Drosophila melanogaster: one gene and its partner. The protein of the gene in region 1 interacts with the protein of each later gene in a pairwise test. Each region holds a gene or a part of one and is shown on either strand. Other genes may lie near its edges.

Evidence for each region. The genes of interacting proteins can lie anywhere in the genome.
Region 2: the proteins of x16 (region 1) and CG7564 interact in a two-hybrid assay, tested with the Drosophila melanogaster proteins (one study listed by BioGRID).

Annotation. Positions count from the first base shown.
Region 1 is NT_033779.5:6,912,892-6,923,968, reverse strand, and holds x16 (x16 splicing factor), read left to right. Parts: upstream 1-3,758; 5' UTR 3,759-4,026; coding exon 4,027-4,445; intron 4,446-5,225; exon of another isoform or gene 5,226-5,357; coding exon of another isoform or gene 5,358-6,628; intron 6,629-6,658; exon of another isoform or gene 6,659-6,759; intron 6,760-6,806; coding exon of another isoform or gene 6,807-7,071; exon of another isoform or gene 7,072-7,216; intron 7,217-7,523; exon of another isoform or gene 7,524-7,581; coding exon of another isoform or gene 7,582-8,286; exon of another isoform or gene 8,287-8,388; intron 8,389-8,568; coding exon 8,569-8,926; 3' UTR 8,927-9,588; downstream 9,589-11,077. Other genes in the region: Hrb27C (heterogeneous nuclear ribonucleoprotein at 27C), read right to left, coding at 1-63; nop5, read left to right, coding at 5,358-6,628, 6,807-7,071; CG32829 (uncharacterized protein), read left to right, coding at 7,582-8,286; Wee1 kinase, read left to right, coding at 10,042-10,543, 10,688-11,024. UniProt on the Drosophila melanogaster protein: Serine/arginine-rich splicing factor (SR protein) involved in differential exon usage during RNA transcript processing, probably by binding exonic splicing enhancer elements and recruiting components of the splicing machinery.
Region 2 is NT_037436.4:17,510,979-17,519,126, forward strand, and holds the start of CG7564 (uncharacterized protein), read left to right. Parts: upstream 1-3,319; 5' UTR 3,320-3,489; coding exon 3,490-4,752; 3' UTR 4,753-8,148. Other genes in the region: Oatp74D (organic anion transporting polypeptide 74D), read left to right, coding at 1-117; U4-U6-60K (U4-U6 small nuclear riboprotein factor 60K), read right to left, coding at 1,142-2,803. UniProt on the Drosophila melanogaster protein: May bind to RNA via its Arg/Ser-rich domain.

The sequences.
Region 1 (11,077 bases):
CTCCTGCGTCGTCTCCCAGGATAGACCGCCCACAAAAAGTTTGCCCCTCTCGTCTTCCTCCATGATGTTGTTTTGGTTGTGGTTGTGAGCTATGGCGCCGGGTAGGTTCTCAATAATTGACGTAATCTTGCCGCTTTTTTATTAACACGGGGTGCAAAGAAATTAACTTGTGTTCGGTTGGTTGCCTGTTTTGGGGGAGAATATACAATTTTTACACTGCTGCTGGTATTTTTTTTTTGTGTTTTTTTTTATGTATTTATGTTTGTATGTATTTTATGTATGGGTTGTCCAAAAAGTAATTGCGGATTTTGTAAATGAAAGTAAATGCATTTTTAATAAAACTTCGAATGAACTTTAATCAAATATATTGTTCGATAATCTTTTGCCATCTTTCTGGCGAACATCCGAATTAATCGTTTGGTTCCTTGGAAGCAGCTAAAAATATACGACACCCTTCCAATACCACCAAACAGACAGCATAACCTTCTTTTGGTGGATATCAGCCATTGAAGTGAAACGGATCGAATTCATTGCGTTTAAGGTGCTTATCACAAGCGTTGATTCGGTGTGTTAAATGAATTTCTTTCAATACATGTGGTACCCAAATATCAAGCTTTTTCACCAGTCCAAGACTTTTTATAATGAACGGTTGATTTTTGGTATATTTAACTTCTCTCCTATCTCACGCTCAAGTTACATGACGATCTAATTCGATAAATAATAATGCTTTGATTTGGTCATCATCAACTTCATTTGGCCTGAACGTGGCTCATCTCTAAGTGAAAAATCTCCAGAACGGAATTTGCGAAACCAATTTTGACACTGTCTTCCTTTTAAGGCTTCATCACCATACCATCGTATCTCTCGTAACTTTCTAGCAACCTTCTCCGCGTTTTTTCCTTTACGGAAATAATAAAGTAAGATATGACGAAAATGCTCCTTTGTGGGCTCCATATTAAAATTGACGCCAAACAAACAAATAAAAACAAAATTTCGCGCACTTTTTTTTCTAATGGAAGCTAAAAGTAACAGCTGATAACTGACCAAAGAAAGAATGCAATTACAGAGTTACAAGCCGTTGAAAAAATTTGTCAACGCCGACTATATGAAAAATCCGCAATTACTTTTGGGCAATATCTTACTTTTTGGGCAATATCTTAGGTTGGTTTCAACGTTGCCAAAGTTCTTTTTTCCTTCAAAACAATTAAACAAAAGCCACGACGTTCACACGTAACTTTCTATCGTAACAATATCGATGTCGTCGGTTTGTTTTTGTTGCAGGCACATGGAAAGATACACATAGAATATAAGAAATCCGGTTAATCGAATTGCTACACAGGAAAAAACAAGGTGGAATAGTTAATTTGGTTATTTGCAAACTGACGTTATTAAAATTAAAGGCCAGGGCTATGGTTGAAATTTTTTTAAATTTACATTTCCTTCGGAGACAATATTTCTTGCTGTGTAAAGATCTTTGGTGCGAATGGGTAGAAATGGTCAGATGACAAAAAATTCACGCATAGTTATTATGAAAGGCACAGGTAGGAACAAAAAAAAAAAAGAGAAAAAAGCGGCAGAAGCAACCGGCCGGTACACATACACACAAACACACGCAGCTGAAGAGATTCCGCCGTACACGTGTATGTGTGTTTGTCGTCTAACTGCTTTTTGTACACGTTCACAAGTTTGCTCCTCCTTCGACACCCCAACACTACTCTCATCCCCTTTCACTCGTTTTTGAACGGCTACGTGAAAGTATTGTTTTCTTTTCGCTGTGTCACGAGCGGAATGGTTGTTGTTGTTGTTGTTGTAACAAATCCCCAGCCTCACTCACACACCAGCACACATGCCGCCTATCAATGAGAACAACGAACTTATGTATTTCCAAGGTGAAAAGAGAGCTGTCGCCGGTTCACCACATTTGCGCGCCATTTGCCAGGGTATTACAGATTACAGCCAGATGTGGGCCAAGTAAACATCTACAGGAGTATATTTAAATTTTTGTGCAAACGCCAATGAACAACGGGTTTAAATTCACTTTGTTATCAAGAAAATCCCGTTTTCTTTACTGGCAGCACTTCGCAGACATTTTGCCCATTAACAAGTGAAAAAACATGTGGCAACGCCATGTGTGACGTGAACGCGAATGGAAAGCGAAAAGCAAACGTACCAAAAACCAATGCCCTCAAAATAAATGTTAATTCCATCGAAAGAAAAAACAAACAATTCTTTTTCGAGTTTTCCTCCAGCTTTAAACGATTAATGTTTTATTGTTGTTGCTGGCTGAGTACTCACGACTGAACTGAATGAATCGCACTGGCAGTGTGTGGGAAATTCACCACGGCAAAGGCAACGAAGAAAAAAAAACAAAATGGAAGACGTGCCTTATGAAAAATGATACAACAAAGAAGTCTCAAGAAATGTCTTGGGTCTCAGTTCTTAGAAAAGGGAACAAACGCATTTCACTGTATTTTTACGCTTTTCGTTTTGTTTGGCCAGCCAGGCGGTTTAATCGATGGGGCACTCACTAATTCACGAATGCACTTTCACGCCGGGTACACTTTTGACACTTGGGCTTTCGGGCCGGAGAAATAGGAGCGAAATTAACCAAGATTTCTAATACGCAATTTTACGAATTTCGCACGATTTTTGTATTTTGCACCGCAATCTGCTGGCGTGTGTGAGTGCATGAGTTGGCCGTACGTGTGTGCGCGTGAGAGCGTGTGTGTGCGCGAATGGCCGCCGAGCGCTGTGCAATGGTGTGCGTGATCGTTGGTGTGGTGTTATACATAGCATTTTTTCGTATGTATGTATAAAAATATGAAATTTTCCACTTTGATGGGTGGAAATAGAGTGCCGAAAGTGGCACGAAAAATCGCTGAAAATTGCACAAACCTCTGTTTGTCGAGAAATCCGAAAAGGCGAAGAAACGATTCGAACGAATCGAGCCAATTTTACCCCACACACAAACACACGCGCACACCGAGCAATGGCAGCTGCGTCAAGTATTCAGGCGTTTTTTTTGGAAAGGAAAGGCTAGGCAGGCATTTTGTTAAAGCACTGTAATTGTTATGTAAATGCGATTTTCGGTCGCTTTTCGTTCTTACCGTTTGTGCCAAGTGTTCGTCTGTGGTTTTTTAAAGATTTCGCACTGCAAATTCACTAAATTTAAGTGTTTTTTCCTTAAAAAACTAGCTTATAAATAATTGTATGATTTTGATGCATACGATATTATAACCTAACTTATATGATAAATCGCCGCCACGTTTAATGCTGTGTGACCGCCGCCAGCCAAAAAAAATACCTCAAGTTGCACGGAATATACTAAAACATACTCCACATATATTCTGAATCTAACAGATACTAGAAAACAAATTTAAATTACGAATTTATATCTATCTTTTAACACGAAGGCTAAATATAAAGGAAGTTAAAGGGGACTGGTTAAAAAAATGTATTATAAATTATTTACATTAAAATGTAATTGTGCAGTACAATAATATCTTAAAGGTGAAAAATGTAATAAGATGTGTGTATATGATTTGTATGTACTATACTAAAAAAGGTTTTATAGTCGCTTTCTTTAGGCGGATGGAATGTTTTGAAAGGAAAAAATAATTTTGAGTATTTTTTTCGTAGGAGTTGAAAAGGAAATATTTAGATTTTCATTTTTCGGCCCTGGAAGTTATTGTTGCCAGACACTCCCGCCTTTTGCTGACCGTTACCCGCGGATTGAGCATAACTTTTGGTATATTTTTAGCGAGTCCGCAGTTTCTTTTAATGGTCTGTCCACGGTCACTCTGTTTGCTACCCGGTAAAATGAGTTTTGCGCTGCATTAAATAGAAAATAAACACAAAAATTCGCATCTGCCGACCGTGTTAAGTGACTAAAAGTGTTCGCCAGTGCGCGATTGACCGACCAAAGTGCCCAGGAAGGCGGTGGCAAGTGATTCCAACCCATCATCGATTTTTTTCTGCGCTGCTGCCACATTAATTTGGGCCCGGGGAAAAGCGAAATAAACAGAAATGTCGCGCCATCCGAGCGATAGAAAGGTGTACGTGGGCGATCTGGGCAACAATGCCCGGAAGAACGACCTGGAGTATGTATTTGGAGCGTACGGCAGTTTGCGCAGCGTCTGGATAGCCCGCAATCCGCCGGGCTTCGCCTTCGTGGAGTTTGAGAGTGCCCGCGATGCGGCGGATGCGGTGCGCGGATTGGACGGACGGACGGTTTGCGGGCGCCGAGCCCGTGTGGAATTGTCCACCGGAAAGTATGCTAGGTCCGGCGGTGGTGGTGGCGGAGGTGGTGGAGGCGGTGGTGGTGGAGGACTCGGAGGACGCGACCGAGGCGGCGGTGGTCGTGGGGACGATAAGTGCTACGAGTGCGGCGGACGGGGGCATTTCGCTCGCCACTGTCGCGAAAGGAAGGCCAGGCAGCGACGCAGGTAAGCGCAATTCGCATTTGCAATTCGCCATTTCAATTTTTCATTCATTGTCGTTGCCAAAAACTTCTTGCTTTTTGTAACATGGCGAGAGAAAGGCATACATACAAACAAACGCATACATACATACATGCATGCTTGTGTGTATGCGCATGCAAAAATGTTGAGTTTGTTTGGGCACCTCTGTCGCCTGTTAAAACTAACAGCGTGCTGTTATGCGCAATGAGTGCTGTTAATCCCAGCGCATGAAGTAGTTCTGTACCATAACAGCACGCACACGTGCTCGGGTGGCATACCCATTAATATCGATATGAGAAGTATATAGCTTCTACAATTGTCTAACAAAATCATGCTTGACAACAGTAGTTATCTATTCAGATAGTAATAACAGAATTTTGTTTTTAAGTCTATTATATAGACTATTATAAGTCTAATATATTGTAAAAATGTAAACACTTTCGTGATTAATAAATATATAAAATATATATATTTTATACTCTTGAGCACAAGAATTTGTCCGTAAATTGCACAAAAGCTTACAAATAGTTACGTGACAATGATTTAGCGAAGTCCTCTAATATATTTAATATTGATATTAAAGTTTGATTGATTTGATTAGAAATAGACAAATTAAAATAAGTGGTAAACAAAAGGGTAGCAGGCGGCTGCAAGACACCCTCCTACGCTATTTTCCCCGCGCTTTTACGTTCGTGGTGAATTAATTACAGTGGTGCTGTTATGCGCGAACCAAGTGGCAACGCCGTAGACCGAAGGCACACGTGCTTGCACTTCATTTTGGATTTTTCTTTTACACGCGGCATACGGAAAAGAAGGTTAAGTTGCTGCTGGCTGCCGAGAGTTTCGGTGGTTTTAAATTGAATTAAAATTGAAACTAAATGAGCAGAGCGTAACGCGATGTTTGTGCTCTACGAAACGCCGGCGGGCTACGCGATTTTCAAGCTGCTGGACGAAAAGAAACTGGAGCAGGTGGACAATCTGTACCAGGAGTTTGAGACTCCGGAGAAGGCCAACAAGCTGCTGAAGCTGAAGCACTTTGAGAAATTCAATGACACCACAGAGGCGCTGGCCGCTGCAACGGCGGCGGTGGAGGGCAAGGTAGCCAAGCCGCTGAAAAAGACACTCAAGAAGCTGCTCGTTGACGACGTGCAGTCTTCGCTCTTGGTTGCCGATGCCAAACTGGGCACAGCCATCAAGGACAAACTGTCGGTACAGTGTGTCTGCAACACTGGCGTCCAGGAGCTGATGCGCTGTATTCGCCAGCAGGCGGACAGTCTGCTTGGTGGTCTGCCCAAGCGTGAGATGACCGCCATGGCCCTGGGTCTTGCCCACTCCTTGTCGCGCTACAAGCTTAAGTTCTCGCCCGACAAGATCGACACAATGATTGTGCAGGCCCAGTGCTTGCTGGATGACCTGGACAAGGAGTTGAACAACTACATGATGCGTGCACGCGAGTGGTACGGTTGGCACTTTCCCGAGCTGGGCAAGATTATTACCGACAACATTGCCTTCGTGAAGACCATCAAGTTGGTGGGCACCAGGGATAATATGGCCACAAGCGATCTGTCCGACATTCTGCCAGAAGATGTGGAGGAAAAGGTCAAGGAGGCAGCTGAGATCTCTATGGGTACCGAAATCTCCGAGGAGGATGTGCTGAACATTCAGTGTCTGTGCGACGAGATCATATCGATCAACGATTACCGCACCCACTTGTACGACTACTTGAAGGCCAGAATGATGGCCATGGCTCCGAATTTGACAGTGCTCGTGGGCGACACCGTCGGCGCTCGACTGATTGCCCATGCTGGCTCGCTGATTAACCTGGCCAAGCATCCCTCATCTACTGTACAAATTCTGGGCGCCGAGAAAGCACTCTTCCGTGCGCTGAAGACCAAGAAGGATACTCCAAAGTACGGTTTGATCTATCACGCCCAGTTGGTGGGACAGGCAAGCCAGAAGAACAAGGGCAAAATGTCGCGTTCACTGGCCGCCAAAGCGTCGCTTGCCACGCGTGTTGATGCCTTTGGCGAAGAGGCTACCTTTGAGCTAGGAGCGGCTCACAAGGTTAAACTGGAGTCTCGGCTGCGACTCCTGGAGGAGGGCAACCTGCGCAAACTCTCCGGCACCGGCAAGGCCAAGGCCAAGTTCGAGAAGTACCAGGCCAAGAGGTATGTTTTAGCTGTCAATTATATAAGAGTAAACAGATTTCCAGTGATGATACCCAAAAGGTTTCGCATGTATCCGATTAAGATGACGATAAACCTTGGCTGTCTGAGCGAAATTGGGTTTACAATCAGGCTATCTCTCGATTGTTCAGTGTATTTAATTTATTTCTTAACTTTTTAGCGAGGTGTTCACCTACCAACCAGAGGCCGACAACACCTTGAACGTGAAGAAGAAGCGCAAGCACTCCGAGTCCGAACAGCAGACGCCTGTTAAGAAGGAGGAACCTGCTGAGGAGGAGGCGGAGGTCAAGTCCGAGAAGAAGAAGAAAAAGAAGAAGAAGCAGAAGGACGAAGAGGTGGAGGCCGTTGAGGAGGCGGCAGCACCAGAGCCCGAGGATCAGCCAACACCAGCAAAGAAAAAGAAAAAGTCAAAGCACCAGGAGTAATTTCCCACCTTGACTAGTTAGTAGGCCTTAAGTTTTAGCATCATAGGTTACCTTACTGTAAAGTATAGGATTTTATAATTACCAAAACGATTAAAGTTTCCGGTGTACATTAGAAATAAAATGTAATATTTGCATAACAAAATACAAATGTTAATATGTTATTCGTATTGGTTTTGATATACTTAATTCTTAAGAAAGCAATTGCAATTGTTTAATGTCCTTTGATTTTAAGAACTAAGCTACCTCTTAGGCATTCAGTTCTTGTCTGCGAAGCTTAGCAACATATTTCAAAAGCAGCTCCCAATTTTGGAGGCCAATCCGTCACTCGCTGCGAGGTAAAAAGTACGTTTGACTGCGGTAAAGGGACCAATGGAGCAGAAAGTTTTTACGTCAGCCCCAATTGCTTGCATCATGATGCCAGGCCCAGTCATTTTGACCATTTTGTGGTCAACGGCGTGGTATATAAATGCGATTGCAACTGGTGCCATTTGAACGAGAAAACTATGCGAGATGCATGGTCATTTTAAGTTGCTGCTGGTCCTGGGACTCCTGCTGACTTACGCGGCAGCCAAGAAGAAGGAGGCCTCATCATCCGAGGAGGAGGAGGGTGGCGACAAGTACGAGAAGAAGAAGTTCGGTGACGAGGAGCACAAGGGTGAGCACGGACACAAGGAGCACAAGGAATGGGAAGAGGACGAGAAGAAGCACCACGAGGTGGAAGACCACGAGCACCACCACGGCGACAAGGGATCGAAGAAGAAGAAACACTACGATGAGAAGGATGAGCATGGTGAGAAGCATGAACACGGCGCTCACAAGAAGGGCGGCAAACATCATCACAAAAAGAAGCACAAGAAGGGTCACAAGGAATTAGAATACCACAAGAAGTTCAAAAAGGACGAGTACATCAAGGAGAAGAAGTTCTACGATGATGAGCACAAGGGCGGACATCATAAGAAGTATGGAAAGGAGCACCATCATCATGCCGAGGAGCACGGCGAGCACAAGAAGGGCGAAAAGCACGAGGGCGGCAAAAAGAAGGGTCACAAGAAGCACCACGGACACTACAAGAAGGGTCACCACGACGAGGACCACAAGAAGTACAAGAAGGAGCACAAGTACGGCGACAGCTTCGAGGAGAAGAAGGAGCACGGCGAGAAGGGCTCCAAGAAGCACGGCCACAAGCACTACAAAAAGAAGGGCGGCAAGCATTGAGCAAGCTATATTATACATGTGATCTTTATGTGAAATGCAGAATTAAAACTGGGAGAGGTTCTAGAATATTATACTGTCTTGTGTTTTATTCAATAAGCTGTTAAAACTTAATCTGCTAAAAGCTAGTTTTGATACTTACAATGTTTCAAATAATATAGCACACTATAATATATTTAAATGTATTAGTATATTAGTATATACATATATAAGGTAGCTTAAATTGTTACGTTTTTTGAAAAGCCTGATAGCTAATCACGACGATTTATCCCATTTCATTTCCAGAAGCAACTCATTCAGCAGATCTCGGAGCACATCGCGACGCAGGCGCACTCGCTCCAAGTCCGGAACTCGATCCCGCAGTCGCTCCGCCGGCTCGGTGGGCCGTCGCTCCGGCCGCTCGAACGGACGGGACGAGAACGGATCGGCGTCGAGGTACAGCGACCACGAGCGCAACGGCAGTGGAGCGGTAGATTCACCGCCGCCGCCAAAACGGCGCTATGAGGATGAGGACGATGACCGGGTTAGGGGATCGCCGCGGTCGCGTTCCCGATCTCGATCGGCGTCGCCAGCGGTGCGCCGTGGATCGCCGCCCAGGCGTCGTGGTGACTCGTCCGCCTCACGATCCGTTTCAAGGGACTAGCGACAGCGAACGGATGCAGACGGAGCCCGACATGCGATGATGAGGGCCGGAGCTGCAACCCCCCGATGAATCCGGCGAGATGGGCTCTCCACGCACTGGACTCTAATCCTCATTCCCAAAAGAAACAACCTCACGTGTAACAAGACAGATTCCCAAATACTTTTTCATGCAGTATCCATCTAAGGTTTTTAGTTGTCCAAAACCATATTAGTTAAGGGTTTTAATTTATAGTGGAACTCGAGTTTGCATATTTAGGTATTCTAATGTTCCAACACAACAACAAATACAAGCACACGCAGAACAAAGGAGAGCGCTTCGGAAAATCATTTGACGGAAGGAAATTTAAGATATAGAAATGTATCGGCAGCCGCAGATTAACGATCTAGTCAGGATTGCTATGTAAATTGATTTGCCTTGGATTTTATTTTGCTTACCCTGGAATTATACTCGAATGTGCAGAGGACGAAGCATCGCCACCATTTTCATGTCAATTTTACACAATTTTCAATTTATGCAACACAACAACTTGATTATTTGACTCCAATCTCTGTATGATGTGTTTCTATATTCGTAATAATTAAGTATTGCAACAGTGCATAATAATTATTCATACATTGATGTCATAGTTAAGTATTAAAAAAATACATATGTATGGATTCTTGAGATGTGTGTTTGAATTATGTAGCAAATGCGCTGAACACTAAAATACAGATATTCAATCAATAAATTAAATGCCAAAATTAGTTGTTTTCCATTTGAATTTGGCGGGCTTTATGCGGTCTTGAACAAGTCTGGTCACTCAGTTTAGAAGTAGGTGCGCATTATTTAAATTGGTATTTTTGCCAGATGTTTAGTATTTTGTTTGTTTGGTAACTCTGCACTTCCAGTTACTTAGTATTTTTTCAGTCAGAGCTGGTATTTTATTGCGCATCGGGTACGGCCACATTATTAGACTAGCATTCCTCCAGTTAAATTTTGTTTTGTGTTTTGTTTTGCATTTTTTTTAACTATTGCCTTTACTTTACTGCCGCCGGCTTCCATACAAATAGTTCTGAAATCAGAAATAACGAACAGAATCGTCTTTCAACGTGGTCAGCTGGACAGCTACAGCAACAATGGCATTCCGCCAGTCGGAGCACGAGATGAGCGTCACCTCACTCGATTCAAGCGTCGAACTGAGATCGCGTTCGCCATCGCCGCAGGTCTTCAATCCGCGCAAGCTCCGCTTCGCCGATGATGACTTTGACAAGGACACGCCCGAGGGAGCGAGTCCGCAGCATCCCCTTCAGCAGCGGCCGAAGCTATCCTCCGGTGAGGAGCAGCAGCTGGACAGTAAGATAGGCAAAGAAGGCGGCGACGGGGACGTGTCCATGTCGCCGCCATGCCAAAAGGTGCGGGCCCTGCGACTCTTTAGCACACCGGCCACTCCAAAGACCATCCTGCAGAAGTCGACGACGCAGTGCAGCAACCATCTGTCGGCGGCAGCAGCGGCAGTGAATGCCTCCAGGCGCAGCGACGACCTCTTCCGCCTGTCAGAGCGCCCGCGATCTCTGCCACTGCACAACCGCAAACTGCCCACCCAGGACACGGCAAATGTGAACCCCTTCACGCCAGATAGTAAGTTTAAAACGTTTCTCGCTTTTGATATTTTAATTAAATAAAGGTATCAATTTCCAGTTCGTTGCTTTAATTTGCACTCCACTTTAACCCATCCCAGCTTAGTCTTATTAGCAATCTAATAATCATTTTTTTTATTTTTAGGCCTCATGGCTCACAATAAGAAGCGCTGTCGCACGCAATTCGGACGCGAAAACCTCAACCTGAACGTGAATGCTATGCAAAAGTATTTGCTCAGTGATGCCTGCGACGACGATGTGACGGAGGAGGCGGGCGACTCGATGCGCGAAATCCACCAGCAGGCACCCAAGCGGCTGGCCCTGCACGACACGAACATCAGTCGCTTCAAGCGGGAGTTCATGCAAGTCAACGTAATCGGCGTTGGCGAGTTCGGTGTGGTGTTCCAATGCGTCAATCGACTAGATGGCTGCATATATGCGATTAAAAAGAGTAAGAAGCCGGTGGCAGGCAGTTCTTTCGAGTGAGTATTCATTAGTTATTGCAACGAGCGTCGTTTAACAATCTATTTGCTTG
Region 2 (8,148 bases), on another chromosome or scaffold:
CGCATTGACATCGCGCCCGAGGATCCGCAGGAGGGCGGGCCCGCTTCCAACGGAAGGACCTTGGAGGTGTCCGAGTCCAAGCAGCCCATCACCCCGGCGCCGGACACGACGGTCTAGGAGGAGCGGGTCGGCGACGAGCCTTGCACAAGCTGCAGGATTTCCAATAAACGTTTACCTTAATTGTTAATTAGTTATCATTTGTCTAGTTTGTTAGCCTAGTGCAAGAGTTATGTATTTAGTTAAGTGGCATCTTCGAGCGTCGGGAGACCTCATTCAAATCCACATTAGAACGCGCTCGTCCAGCTCCCGCTCCCGATCCTGCTCCAAATCCCAGCACCATATTCTACATGAAGCCCATGGATTGCGATTTGAATCCTTGTAAATCTCAACGCGAAACAATGAAATGAAATTCTAGACATTATCTAACGTCATGCATGAGCGTAGTTAATCGACGAGCTAATACTACAAACTGATCGACAATTGTGCAAAGTGCAAGAAAATTTATGAATCCTTATGTGTAAACTATATGTAACAGTTATATCGCGATGTATGTAATCTATAATTAATATATTAGACATACACTTACATGTATGTATGTAATTGCAACCTATCTGTGGTAGTTAAATTTTAGTTAAAATTCAAATTAATTGTCTAAGTTTGTCATACAACAAATATATACGAAAAGAAATTAAATGGAAAACTATATACAAGTAATAAAAACAGATGTTTAAATATGAGGATGGGCTGCTCAAGGATAATTAAAAAATGAAGAGGAAAAGTTGCTAGTTATCCTTACTTATAAATTAGAAACAAGTTGTAGGCTGATTAGTTGTTGGGCCAGTAAATCCTTTCCCAATTTTAAACCCGTTTAAAATTCAATTCTCTACCAAAAATGTATTTTTTATTAACAATTTCAATAAAAAAGTCTTAAATTTACGAAATGCAACATCGCTGCATCTGCCTTTCGCCTAACAAAAACAACAAATTGTGTTATACAAAACGAAAACTTGAAATGTTTTGGGCTATTGTCTCTGAAATAACAAAAACAGTTGATGAGTAAGTCGTGCCCAGCGGGCAGATCGCAAGTGGAGATTGTCTGCGTACGCCCACAGGTGAGTACAATAAAGTAATGGTATCAAAATCAGCTATCCGGCGACCACAGCTTAAATGTGCGGTCAAATGAGGTCGTGGCTATATACTGCGAGTTGGGCGCGATGTCCACCGATATGACCTTGTTGTCGTGGCCCTGCAGCGTCTTCAACGGCTGCCACGTCTTGTTGGACCAGATCTTGGTGGTCGAGTCGTAGGAGCAGGTGACCAGGAAGCTGCCGCACTCCTGCTGGTACTTCACGTCCGAAATCAGATTGGTGTGCGCAGGAATGGTATAGACCGGCTGGCGTCGCCTCAGGTCCCAGATTTTACATGTGTTGTCCTGGGACCCTGTTGCTATGTGGAATCCGTTTGGAGAAAAGTCCACGCCGAAAACGGCGCCCAAGTGTCCCTCCAGAAACATGATGCACCGCCCAGTGCGCAGATCCCACACTCGTCCAAAGGCATCCAGACCGCCGGTGACCAGGACACTGCCGTCGGAATGATAGCTAAGGCAGTGAACCGGCTTTGCGTGCCCTTCCTGGTGAAGCACCTCTGTCTTTTGCTCCAGATCCCACAGCCGCCAGCTAGAGTCGTAGCAGGCGGTGGCCAAGAAGCGGCCGGAAGGATGGAAGGCTACCTTAGAGACGCGATGCGGCATGTGGCCGGTGATGTCGGCAATCGACTCTTCGTTGTTGAAGCCCCACAGCTTGACGGCGCCATCGTGGCCACCGGAAGCCATGGCCACCACGTTCTCCTCGTCTGCCTTAACTCCCGGCCGCAGAGCCACTCCGCCCACATAGCTGGCATGTCCACGCAGCGTCTGCTTCAGCTCGCAATCGGGCACGCTCCACAGCTTGCAGAGACCCGACCATGAGGAGGTCAGAAGGAGTGAGGAGTCTTCACTGAAGGCAGCACTACTCACGGGCCGTGTGTCACCCACCTGGGAGCACAGTGGAGCCAGCGACTGGAGCTTCTTCTGCATCTCCACCATTCGGCCGGCACGTGCTGCGCTGGGCACTTCAAGGGCCTCACGTGCTCGTACCAAGCGATCCTTGGCGCGCGGCAGGGAATAATCCGCCAGCCAGAGTCGAGCGATACGCAAACTATCGGGTCCCTCGTGGTACCAGGTGGCCTGATCCTGCTCCCGCTGTTGCTGCTTGCGCTCCTCATCCTCATACTGCCTCTTGTTGATGGCGTTCTCGCCCAATCCAGCCAAGAGTTCCTTAAGACGTCTTCTTCGCTCCGCCGGTCCTTCTCCAAAATAGCAAATGGGTTCGTTTAGCTGGCGCAGATTGCTCTTGATCTCCGTGTCGTCTGTGGACACATTTATCTGTCGTGCTCGCTTTTTCCGCTCAAATTCCTCAAGGAGCGCCACCTTGTCGCGCTCCATTTCCATCTCTAGATCGAAGTAGTCATCGTCAATTTTGTTGGCCAGAGTAGCGGCTGTGGGTGGTGGTGCTCCGGCCTGCTTGGCGTTGCTTGTCTTTTTCGTGGACTCCTCGTAATCCTCATCGGAATCGATGTCTTCCAGTTGCCCGCCTGTTCCAGTTGTTGTTGTTCCTGCCCCAGACGATGCCGTCGTTCCCGATGTTGTTGTTGCTGCTGCCCCAGACGCCGCGGCATTTTGCCGCTTGCGTTCCGATTCCTCGAGCGATCCATAGTGCAGCGTTCGCTGCCGCTTAATGTACTGTATATCGTCGTCATCGGACATCGTTGCGGCCAGCAAACAAGTGCAAAATAATTAATTTTAAAATAAAATTTCGCCGAAACAACGAAGAAACAACAAAAAATATTGCCGTAAAGAAAACGTTTTGCTGCCTAGTGTTGAGCAACGCCGAGAGGGGTGGTTTAGTGATGCCATCACCGATGTTTAGAGCGGTATGCAGCGAATAAGCAATAGTTTTTAGATCGATATTGTTTGTTGTTTATTGTTAAATGAACGGTTTTTGAAACTCTAAATTATATTTAAAACAATAACTATTTAAAACTGAAACTTTATTCCACGTGTTTAATAAAATTTTATATTAAGATCGCGATATACCGTTATTAGAGAGAACTACATTTGTTCTTGGAAATTAAATGATGTGCCTTTGTTTTTTATTTAATCATTTAATCAACAATAATCTATATACTTGGATCTGAACAAAAGCCGTTACTCCCAGAAACCGTGACTTTTCACCGATATATCGCCTACTCGTGCTTCACAGCACTGTTTTTCAGCACTACCCCATTTTAGAACATCCTCACGCACGCACGCACAGAATTTTCTTAGGTGATTAAAAGTGAGTGAAAATTGAGAATTTCCACACGCGTCGCACGCTATTGGTCACAAAGCCAGTGAGATAGCTGTCACTGCCACCGCTGCAGCATTTTTCACGCGCTCCTGGCCAGAAGGATATGAGCGCGCCGAGCAACAAAATGTCGGCCACCGATCAGATGCGAGCAATGCTGGACCAGCTTATGGGTACCACACGGAATGGCGACGAGCGCCAACTGAAATTCTCGGACCCCAGGGTCTGCAAGTCCTTTCTGCTCGACTGCTGTCCGCACGACATCCTGGCGTCCACGCGCATGGATCTCGGTGAGTGTCCCAAAGTGCATGACCTGGCTTTCCGCGCAGATTACGAAAGTGCCGCCAAGACGCGCGACTACTACTACGACATTGAGGCCATGGAACACCTGCAGGCCTTTATTGCCGACTGCGATCGACGCACCGACTCCGCCAAGCAAAGGTTGAAAGAGACCCAGGAAGAGCTGACCGCCGAGGTGGCTGAGAAGGCCAATGCTGTCCATGGCCTCGCCGAGGAGATTGGCAAGAAGTTGGCCAAGGCCGAGGCCCTGGGCGAGGCCGGCGAAGTGGAGGACAGCATGGAGCTGATGAAGGAGATCGAGGAGCTGCGTGCTAAGAAGATCAAGGCCGAGCACGAGTACCGCACATCTATGCCCGCATCCACCTACCAGCAGCAAAAGTTGCGCGTCTGCGAGGTATGCTCCGCCTACCTCGGGATTCACGACAATGACATACGTCTGGCGGACCACTTTGGTGGTAAGTTACATCTCGGATTCCTCACTATCAGAGAAAAGCTGATCGAACTGGAGAAGACGGCGGCGCCGCGGAAGGCGGAGCTCAAGCGGACGGGTAAGATGACGGACCGCGAGGACGAGGGACGCGGACGCAATCGCTACTTTGTAGGTGGTCGTGAACTGGACCGCCGCTCTCGCGTACATCGTTCCCGCTCCAGAGAACGACAGCGCAACCGGGATGGGGACCGCGAACGCCCCAACAACGGACGCGGTCCTGAGGAGAAGGGGAGTGAGCGACCCAAGGAAGCGGCAGATGGTCCGGAGCGAGCCGAAAGGGCACCAGATCGTGGAGGACGGCGAGATGACAGGGACAACCACGGCAGGGATCATCGCGAACGGGAACGCGATGGCAGGCGGGATCGGGACCGACATGGACGCAACGACAGAGGACGCTTTGGTGACAGAGGCGGCGGTGGAGGAGGCGGTGGCCATCACCGTGACGACAGACGCCGCTCAAGGTCCAGGGAACGCTCGCCACGCGAACGGCGGAACTTTAACCACTTCAGGGATGGTGGTGGCGGCGGAAATGGCCAGCGCAAACGATCCTACTCCCGTGAGCGCAACTACCGCCGCTAGGCTAGAATCCCGCCCAGCGCACGTACGTAGCATTAATCACATGAACTATAATGCCACCACAAATTGAACTACTGAAAACAACAGGAACCGAATATTCTTAGCGTAACCAATAAAGCAACCTAGAGCCACACTTTCGACGCTCCAATATGAAGATACAACTACCTTTGTACATTTTTAATAATTTAATTGATTTCTATTTTTGATCTTGCGTTCCAACCTCTAATGACAAATTTTTGTTACTACCCCAAAGTAAACCGAACGCAGTCCAAGACCCCAGCCTCAATAAAAACTTTAAGAGAAACGATATACTCGATATAATGCGATTGAAATTATATAGTCCCCGTCCAGTCCAGTGTACTTGGCACGTAGAGACAGAAACCCAAACAGAAAATAGAAATCCCAACGAATCGGCAGTGTTGTCAATTAAAGTTCAGTTCATTGTAATTCGGTTAGGACACAGCGGCAGTCAAGTTAAAGATAACTAATTTATAAGGATTCAGAGCAGGAGAAACGTTTAATATATGATATTTTGTGTGTTGTATAGCTAGCTACAAGTTGGTAACATTGACTGAAACCCAACCAAACCTGACCACATTCGACCATGTACTCTTCTCAGCTAACGATCACGTTCACCCAGTCGAAGTCAACGTGTGTTGTGCATCGCTGTCGTCCCGCTTTGGGGTAAGCCTCCACCATATTTAACTCTGACACACTCCATCACTGCTCTGATTTGATTTCATTTGATATGATATGATTTGATTTGATTTGTAACCCCAAAGCGTTCTCTACTTGAAGTTCCGTTCCACACTTTCGCAGCCGCTTAAACTCTCGCACAGCTTCGGTACGTATTGAGTATGGCGAGGTGACTATATACATTATACCAGACCAATGTTAGTTGTTTTGGCAGATATGCGTATTACATAGATAATCCAGATAATATAGCTTGGGTACGTATCCATACCGGCCGACGACGTTTCCTTTTGAATCGTCGAATGAGAGTGTCGTTTATTTATTCGGTTCTGGGTACGTATTAATGTTAGAAGATCACGACTGTGGTACGTATACATATAACGACTATAATGGTGCCCCATAAGCAAGCCAGGCTCTCTAGGGTTCTCGGCGATCCAGATCCCAACGTACGTATTTCTCCTCCTCCTTTCTCTCTCTCTTGAAAATAAATAATAAAAAATACAATCACCACAAACCAAAATAAATTTTAATCTCGTAGCTGTTTAGAGGCAATTGAATTAAAATCCGTTTCTTACTAAATCTCTGTTTATCTTGCCAAATGGTACTTGAACCACTGTAATGATGAACTCCAATTAAGAACACAAGTCCGTTTTAAGTTGAAGGCAGCCGTCGGGCTGACATATATTTATTCAATTTCTTCTTTTGATTTTAGAGTAGGCAGAAATGGTTCTGTCAGCTCAACGTCTACAGAGTCTCTCTGATTTTACAGTTTTTTATATATTTTGACTTAGGCTAATCCGCGTAGCTGCGCTGCCGGGTACGCCAGCAGCGGAGCGGCGTTCTTATGTATATCTTATATATCTAGGCTTATCGGGAGAGCGAGATATGTATGTACGTATGTAATATGTATTTGGTCGGCGTGTGAATGCTGACCATGCACTTATACTTTTTGCCTTCGAGTGGGTGATCATGTTACATCTGCCCTGGCCTAACTGCGTGCATAAACATAAACATAAACATAGCAACAAAGTGCTGCCATAAGTTAATATGCTATTTTATTTAATTGTTCTTAATATTGCATAGGCACATACTACATCTCCCTCCTTTTGAAAAATAACGTAACCTAGTGAAGTTATTTTGATTATTAAATGCAAATTATTTTATTTTTATTTTTATTTTGTTTGTGTTTTTGTTTGAACAACAATAGTTGATTTTATAATGCAAAGATAAAAATATACGTAGTGTATGGAAAATTTGTATAAATGATTAAGGAAAATATAAGTTTAAATTCAATCATGAATGAAATTTCTTTAATCTATCTTTATGAACTATTTGTTTTTTGTTTTTATTAGTAAGTAGCGTAATATTGTTATTATCTCCTATGCTTTCTATCTTATAGGGCCCCGTATATTTAAAGTCTAATTTATGACCTACCTCATTTCTTAGTAAAACTTTATCTCCTACTTCTAATTCTATGTCTTTTACTTTTAAGTCATAATTTTCTTTATTTTTTTCTTTGTGTGCTTCAAGAAGTTTTCTTGCTCGAGCATATGCTACCTCTAACCTATATTTACTCTCCTTAGCGTAATCATCTATGTTATATATTGGTTCTATGCTATGTAGTTTATTAAAATGTTTTGGTAAATTACTTGTTCTACCGAAAACTAATTCATATGGACAATAATTATGTACCATAGATTGGGTCGTGTTGAAGCAGTATACGAAATATTGAAGCCATACGTCCCAATCGGTTTTGTCCGTCGATATGTAGGATCGTATATACTCGTTTAAAGTTCTATGACTTCTTTCTACTACTCCAACTGTCTGGTGGTGATGAGCTGTTGATGTTATATTTTTTATTTTCAAATATTTACACAGGTCAGTAATTATTGAATTCTTATACTCTGTTCCCATGTCCGTTATGAACGTCTTCATTGGACCGTACTTTAGAATAAAAGATTCAAATATAGCTTTTGCGACTGTTTTTGCGCTTTTATTTGCTATTGGTATGGCAACTAAGTACTTGGTTAAATCACATATGAGAGTGACTGCGTACTCGTTACCATTTTCTGACTTGGGTAGTGGACCAATTGTGTCCACAACAACTCTATCGAAAGCATGTTCTGGTGTTTCAGTTATCGTCATTGGAGTCTTTGTGTGCTTTGTTGTTTTTGCTTTTTGGCATTTTTGACATTTTCTTACGTACTCTTTTATGTATTTACTCATATTTTTCCAGTAATAATGTCTTTTGACCTTGGCCAAGGTTTTTGTAATGCCTGTATGCCCTCCTTGTATTGGATCATCATGTAATGTAGACAATATAGCTTCTTTTTCTTTTTCATTATTTATTTGGGTCACCGGGTTAAGTAGCGCTACTTTTAAATTCTTTAATATTTTATTGCCCATATTTTTAAATTTATCTATTGAAACGTGTTCAAAGATTTTTTTCCACGGTGCCATTTTGATTTGGCTGATATCATATATACCGGCCTGCAATTCAAGCCTTTGGAGAAATTGATCTAAATCAAGAATTCCATTAGTATAAAGATCACCAACATCATATCTTGCAATAATTTTCTTTCCATGTTTAAATAAACATATCGAGTCATTCAATTGCAATGTCACTACTTTTCGTACCTCGTCATTTGTTATGACTTCGTATACGTTGGGCTCTGAAGCTATTTCTTTGGTTTGCTTTTGCAAATC